Macaca fascicularis: one gene and its partner. The protein of the gene in region 1 interacts with the protein of each later gene in a pairwise test. Links are inferred from orthologs where the notes say so. Each region holds a gene or a part of one and is shown in the gene's direction. Other genes may lie near its edges. The genes, in order: GPSM3 and GNAI3.

Region 1 (3,915 bases):
GGCTTTTAGTTATGGCCACTTAAGAGATTCCTAAGGCCACAAGTCAAGTAGATGGAGAGAGTGTCTTAAAGAAACTGTCCACCTTGCAGCAACAAGTTGCTAGGTTTGAAACATGGAGTCATGAGGCATTTTGAAAGCCAATAATATCTACAGTTTGTTGAGTATCCACTATGCATCAAGTGCTTTATTACATTTAATACATCAACTCTATGAAGTAGGTGCTATTAAAACCCTATTTCACTCTTTCAGAAATTGAGGCACAGAGATCTGCCCAAGATTGCAAAGGAATAAGTGGCAGGACCAGATCTCTTCTTCATCACATTTCACATTCCAAATCACTCAGCTATAAACTCCCTAACATGACAGGCTGCCATTTAGAGGTACCAAATGGTTGTCTGCCCTGCTCCTTCCTTGATGCCAACCAACCTGATTAGCATTGATCAAAGACCAAGCCAGAGAGGTAGTCCTCTCCCTTTTCGATTTCATTTCATTTCTTTCTTTTTCTGAAACAGGGTCTTGCTCTGTTGCCCAGGCTGGAGTGCAGTGGCACAAATGGCTCACTGCAGCCACAACCTCCTGGGCTCAAGCAGTCTTCCCACCTCAGCCTCTCATTTTTCCATATCTACATCTCTTATACCCAAAATAGGTTTTCCCTTGCCCCTTATCTGCACTAAACTATAAGTTTCCAAAATGAAGCCTTCCTGTACTCTCACATTTGGTACACATCTTGTCTCCTGAATAGAGTGTATATTTTATTTTATTTTATTTTATTTTATTTTATTTTATTTTATTTTTGGAGACGGAGTCTCGCTCTGTCACCCAGGCTGGAGTGCAGTGGCACAATCTTGGCTTACTGCAACCTCTGCCTCCCGGGTTCAAGCAATTCTCCTGCCTCAACCTCCTGAGTAGCTGGGACTACAGGCGCATGTGGCCACGCCCGGCTAATTTTTTGTATTTTAGTAGAGACGGGGTTTCACCATGTTGCCCAGCTGGTCTCGAACTTCTGAGCTCAGGCAATCCACCCTCCTCGGCCTCCCAAAGTGCTAGGATTACAGGTGTGAGCCACAGCTGCCAGCCATCTCCTGAATAGACTATAAATACCTGAAGGTCAGGGATTATTCAATACATATATATTGAATACTTAATACGTGTTGGACCCATTGCTAGGGTTTTGTTTTTGTTTTTTTTTTGAGACGGAGTCTTGCTCTGTCACCCAGGCTGGAGTGCAGTGGCCGGATCTCAGCTCACTGCAAGCTCCGCCTCCCGGGTTTACGCCGTTCTCCTGCCTCAGCCTCCCGAGTAGCTGGGACTACAGGCGCCCGCCACCTCGCCCGGCTAGTTTTTTTGTATTTTTTAGTAGAGACGGGGTTTCACCGTGCTAGGGTTTTATGTATATATTTGAGAGCTCCACATCCCTAGGTCTGAATCCTCTACTTCCCACTGGAACCATGCCCCCTCCCAGACCCAGTAAGTAAGAGGGAAGATGGGGAGGGCCAAATCCTACAGCAGGGTCTATCTCAGGGAGGGAAGGGACCTGGTTGGGGGGAGGGGGATTCTGAGGAGTGAAACCACTTCCTGTGTAGCTAGTTCCTGTGTTGACAGAAAGAGCAGAAGAGGAGGTGGGGTGGAGGGAGCAGAGTCAGGGATTAGGGGGCTACTGAGGCTCTGGAGATGAGACTGCCAGGAGTCCTTCCCCACCATCAGCCCCCTCCACTCCTGCAGCTGGAGGAGTTTTTCCCAGTCTCTGTGCTCCCCTGGGGTGACAGAGACTGAACAAGATGTTTGGGTGGGAAAAGAGAATGGAGGAAGTTGACAGGGATGGGCGGGGCCCGTGGGGGGGCTGACCAGGAACTCAGCTTCCTGCTCAGTACCCAGGCATCCAGCCCCCAGCTCACCCCCACCCCTTCCAGCCCCCACTCCCCTCAGGAACCCAAGGTTCCGGCCCTCCTCCCAAATCCCAGCCACCCCTCCCCCACCAGTTTCTCCCCTCCAGGGGATGGAGGCTGAGAGACCCCAGGAAGAAGAGGATGGTGAGCAGGTGAGCTGGGCACGGGGTTGGGGAGGCTGACACTGGGAAAGAAGGGAGGTGAGAGGATCTGGGGCAGAAATGTAGGGACACAGGGGCCTTGAAAGGCTTGGGCAAACTGAGGCAGGAACAGAGACACACAGAGAGGAAACGGGCCACTGACCTAGCCCCTGTCCACTCCACCCACTTCAACCACCACTGCTTGACTGGAATGGACATATTTTGGCATCAGGGCCCCCCTCAGGATGAGCAAGGCTGGCCCCCTCCAAACTCCACCACTCGGCCTTGGCGATCTGCTCCTCCGTCCCCTCCTCCTCCAGGGACCCGCCACACAGGTACCCCTACCCACCCAGGGAGAGCCCTGACCCTGGTGCCCACATCCTGATCCCATTACCAAGGCCCAGTCCATTGTGGGCCCTCTCCCCACCTCCTCCAGACTCCCCTTGGGATTACCCATTGCGCCGCCTCTCCTCTGACCCAAAGTCCCTAATCACATCACCCTATCCACACTCCCCCACGGCTCCTGTCTGCCAACCTCTCTGGGTCTCTGAGCCCTCCACACCCCTCTCCCCAGCACTAGGACCCCGCTCGGCCTCCCTGCTCTCCCTGCAGACTGAGCTCCTTCTGGACCTGGTGGCTGAAGCCCAGTCCCGCCGCCTAGAGGAGCAGAGGGCCACCTTCTTCACCCCACAAAACCCCCCAAGCCAAGCCCCTGCCCCACTCCGTCCTCTTGAGGACAGAGAACAGCTTTACAGCACCATCCTCAGTCACCAGGTAAGACATCCCCCCAGGAGGCAAACCCAGGCCTCCTGGTCTCTTGGCCCTGTTCTCTTTTGGGTTCTACTCCTGCTTCTCCCTAGGCACCCCATCACCTTCACAGGTTTCCTATATGCCTCCCCATACCAACCCTTGATCCTCTCAAGAACCTCCTCCCCTCCGACCCTCACCAAAGCTCTTCCTCTGCCTCCACTCCTCCAGTGCCAGCGGATGGAAGCCCAGCGGTCAGAGCCTCCCCTCCCTCCAGGGGGGCAGGAGCTCCTGGAGTTGCTGCTGAGAGTTCAGGGTGGGGGTCGAATGGAGGAGCAAAGGTCCCGGCCCCCCACACACACCTGCTGAGACTTGAGCCCCCAGCCAGCCCTTCCTCGCCCCTGGTCTGAAAGCTGGGCAGCCTATTGCATGCCCTCAACTCTTGCTTGGCGGGGGTAACACAGACTGAAAGACGCAGCGCAAATCTCAATATTCATCGCCCACATCACCTTCCTTGGGAACTGGACGGGGTGAAAGGCCTCAAACTCTGGGAACAGGCGAGGTGGAACGTGGATTTAACTCCCCCCTGCACAGGTCCATGGGAGCTTGAGGCAGTAAGGGGGATCCCAGGCACCCATCTCAATGAGTGGCTGGGAGTCTTTTCCCTAACTTGTGGGGACACCACCAATTGTCGAGCTACTAGGCACTAGGGTCTGAGGGCTCAGGCCTCCTCCTGAGAGGTTATAACCTGAGAGACAGCTCTACCCTTCCTCCCAGTAAGAAGGGAAGGTGGGTGGGCACCTGAGAGATTAAGACTATTCTCCCAGTCCCACTACCAGCACCCCCCATCCCTGAGACTGAGGGGTTTAGAGGCTGTGAATGGACCTTCAGCCCTGCCCACCCTCCCTCCCCACTGCTGCTGAGTCTGTCCAATGTTTTGGTTGTGTGAATAAATGTAATACCCCTCTGGACTGAAGACTGGTGTCTGGGGGACCAGGGCGGGGTGAAGGGTAGGAAGGTGAGGCCAGAGGCCGCCTCTCTCCCCAGTCTGGCCAGAGGCCAGCTCCCCTCCCTGGCTGGTTAATTACTGGCTCATTAAGCAGCGGCTGGAGACCTCCCTAATTATCTCCCCCAGCCCCCCT
Region 2 (3,815 bases), on another chromosome or scaffold:
ATGTTATTGTACTAAATACTGTAGGCAATTGTAACGTAATGGTAAGTATTTGTATATCTCAACATCTCTAAACATATAAAAGGGTAATAGGGCCCATGATGTCACTAGGGACTAGGAGTGTTTCAGCTCCATTATAATCTTACAGGATCACTAGCATACATTTATGGAGTCTGTTGTTGACCAAAACATTGTTATGCAGCGCATGACTGTATTTGAAAACTTTCTTATTCTTTCAGTGAGAACTTGACTTTAGAAACGTTTCAGGATTCTTGCCTACCTTTTAATAACATATTTTAGTTGCAGGTATTGAGAGCTTAAATAATTCTACCAGTGGTCAACAAAAGTAGATTATAATTGCTTTTTTCATCATTCATTCAGAAAGCTCTGAATCCTCTAACTACATGTGCTTACATTATAGAGATTTTCATAACAGTTGATCTAAGTTTGCCTCTTTACATTAGTGATAGTATTTGGTTTTATAGATCATTAATGATTCACTTATATTGGTGCCATCTGCTCATCAGTTTTCTAGCCTGAAATCAGCAAAGAATATAGTTTTGAAGCAGTCTTTTAATTATTTCCCTGAACAAATTAATTTTTTTTGGAGGTATTTACAATTTGTTTTTGGTTTAGATTTAAAAAACCCCCAAACCTCCCCAACTCTTCTGTTTATTGAAAGAAAACGGAAAATATTCTTACTCACTATAGTTCTCTTAATTTTAATAAATTAAACACCATTCTCTAATGTCCTGTCAAATGGTTAAACACACATGACCTATTAAGTTTAATTGTCTGAGGACTTTTGGTATAATTTGGTTTTGGTATTATACAGTATGCAGTTAATTTAGTATTACATTTCAGGAATTTTTCTTTACTAAAAACATTTCCTGTTCCTATTGTTTTAATTTTTTAAATTGGCCTTCACAGTTTAATTCTGTAGAATTAAACCTACTTTTGTGTCTGGGCACGTTGGCTCACGCCTGTAATCCCAGCACTTTGGGAGACCAAGGCAGGCGAATCACCTGAGGTCAGGAGTTTGAGACCAGCCTGGCCAACATGGTGAAAACCCATCTCTACTAAAAATACAAAAAATTAGCTGGGCGTAGTGGTGAGCATCTGTAATCCCAGCTGTTCAGGAGGCTGAAGCAGGAGAATCACTTGAACCTGGAAGATGGAGGTTACAGTGAGCCGAGATCACACCACTGCATTGCAGCCCGGGTGACAGAGTGAGACTCTGTCTCAAAAAAAAAACAACAAAAAGAAAAGAAAAGAAAACAAAAACCTACTTTTGTTAATGTATATAGACTCTATACTTTAATTGTCCTATGTTGGATTCGTATTTTTTCTTATTATTTATTTCTTTTTTTTAAGAGACGGGGATCTCACTCTGTCACTCAGGCTGGAGTACAGTGGCACCCTGCAGCCTTGACCTCTTGGGTTCAAGTGATCCTCCTGCTTCACTCAAGGGTAGGAGGATTAGCTAGGACTATAGGCGTGCACCACCATGCTTAGTTAATTTTTAAAATATTTTGTAAAGACAGGGGTCTCTTTATGTTGCCCAGGCTGGTCTTGAACTCCTGGCCTCAAGTGATCTTCCTGCCTTGGCCTCCCAAAGTGTTGGGATTACAGTCATGAGCCACCATGCCTGGCTTCTTATCTTTTCTATGATACTGAAGATCTGATTCTGTTTTGCCACTCTAGTAACTAGTAACAGGTTTAGAATAGGAACTAATTTAGTCTGTTGATTTGCTATGCACATGGTTGGCTTCACCAAGTAAAAGTAAGTGTGTCTTTTATTTAGTTATCTAAATGATCTGGATAGAATATCCCAGTCTAACTACATTCCAACTCAGCAAGATGTTCTTCGGACGAGAGTGAAGACCACAGGCATTGTAGAAACGCATTTCACCTTCAAAGACCTATACTTCAAGTAAGTCATTAGCCTTTTTGCTAGGTGTGCCAAATACAAGTATCTTTTGTTTTAGTTTACCATCTCTTAATCAGGGCAAAATTCCTCTGGGCAGTATTCCTTGGTTTAGAAACTTAACCTATTTATCAGCATTGTTTGAATATTTTAACTGAATGGGGGCCCAAACATCTCTTGTTTCTCCAAATAGCATCAAATGTTTGTGTCCATTTAGAGGAATTTAAATTCAAAAATAAATTGTAACTTGCCTCCCAGTAAAATTTTTCCTGTGATAACTGGTTTGTTTTAATTTTATTCTTTTCAGCTGCTTGTTAGACTCACCAAAACAGATATCGAATGTTTAATACGGTAACAATATTGAACTTATGAAAACCAGTTTTTTTGGTTAGTTACATGGTTTTGTTTTGCCATTTTGATATTAAAATAGGAATGCTTTTCTCCCCAGTGTCACTTCTTTTTGGTTTGAATTTCCCTTCCAGTTGAATGGAATGGAGCAAGTATTATCATGGCTCTTGAAGTAATTTGTGCGTAGTGTCATGTACAATTAAGTTCTTAGTACAGTGCAGAAATATGGGGATAGAGGTGTTTTGGGTTGGTAAGATGACATTTAAACAGTGATTTTTTTTGGTTTGTTTTTAAAATTTTATTTTTTAGAGACAGGGTCTTACTCTGTCATCTTATCTGGAGTGGAGTGGTGTGATCATGGCTCACTGCAGCCTTAACCTCCTGGGCTCAAGTGATCCTTCTGCCTCAGCCTTCCAAGTTGCTGGGACTGTAGGCTCATGCCACTGTGCCTGGCTAATGTTTACCAAAAAAAAATATGTAGAGACAGAATCTCTCTTTATTGCTCAGGCTGGTCTCAAACTCCTGGGCTCAGGTGATTCTCCCACCTTAGCCTCTCAAAGTGCTGGGATTGCAGGTGTGAGCCACCATGCCCAGTCCAACTGTGATAGTTTGAGAGAGAGAAAATTCTAGTATTCTAATACAAATAACTTTCTCATTAGCATTAGTAATTCTTTTTTTTTTTTTTTTTTTTTTTTTGAGACGGAGTCTTGCTCTGTCGCCAGGCTGGAGTGCAGTGGTGCAATCTTGGCTCATTGCAACCTCTGCCTCCCGGGTTCAAGTAATTCTCTTGCCTTAGCCTCCTGAGTAGCTGGGAGTACAGGCGCCCGCCACCACGCCTGGCTAATTTTTTTTTTTTTTTTTGTACTTTTAGTAGAGATGGGCTTTTACCGTGTTAGCCAGGATGGTCTCTATCTCCTGACCTCGCGATCCGCCCGCCTCGGCTTCCCAAAATGCTGGGAGCCACCATGCCTGGCAGCATTAGTAATTCTAAAACAAGCCTCAGCTTGTCTCTGTGTTAATGGTCTTTTATAAATATTAGAAATGTTTTTTTGGTTCCTATTTTCTTCTTTCGTGACCTTTGAGATTAGGAGTAAACTTTTCTCCTTCAATATACCATGTGTTCTTTAGTTATGTTATTATGCTTATATGTAGAATGTGATGTTCGGCATTATTGCATACAGATGTAACTACTACCTCAGAGCCTGTCAGGTTTTTGGTCTGAAACCAGCTCTTACACAGGATTTGTGAAATCCACATAGGGTTTACTTATTACTAGATACCAGTCAGGGTCTTGAAATCCTAATACACTAAACTAGATTTTTTCCTGGTGCAGGAAAATAGCAGTTCAGCTCTGAATGCTTTTAGAATAGACTTGCTGCTTGTCGTTAGTACTGATGAATTTATTTAGCAAGAGCAGCAAAGACCACGTGGATTATCACTCATAAGATGATAAGAATGAGATTTCTTTGTATAAGGTTTGTAATCTACTTATAATTAAAAGTTGTGATCATTATTTAGTGTTGGAAACTTTCTTATTGGTGTT

Evidence for each region.
Region 2: the proteins of GPSM3 (region 1) and GNAI3 interact in binary tests that used the Homo sapiens proteins (3 or more experiments, as listed by UniProt). The two-hybrid records come from large-scale screens. The link is inferred for Macaca fascicularis from reciprocal best matches to the Homo sapiens genes GPSM3 and GNAI3.

What each region holds. Positions count from the first base shown.
Region 1 is NC_088378.1:139,518,847-139,522,761, forward strand, and holds GPSM3 (G-protein-signaling modulator 3), read left to right. Parts: upstream 1-1,592; 5' UTR 1,593-1,996; coding exon 1,997-2,038; intron 2,039-2,258; coding exon 2,259-2,361; intron 2,362-2,600; coding exon 2,601-2,800; intron 2,801-3,004; coding exon 3,005-3,142; 3' UTR 3,143-3,744; downstream 3,745-3,915. UniProt on the Homo sapiens protein: Interacts with subunit of G(i) alpha proteins and regulates the activation of G(i) alpha proteins.
Region 2 is NC_088375.1:124,756,920-124,760,734, reverse strand, and holds part of GNAI3 (guanine nucleotide-binding protein G(i) subunit alpha-3), read left to right. Parts: intron 1-1,801; coding exon 1,802-1,930; intron 1,931-3,815. UniProt on the Homo sapiens protein: Heterotrimeric guanine nucleotide-binding proteins (G proteins) function as transducers downstream of G protein-coupled receptors (GPCRs) in numerous signaling cascades.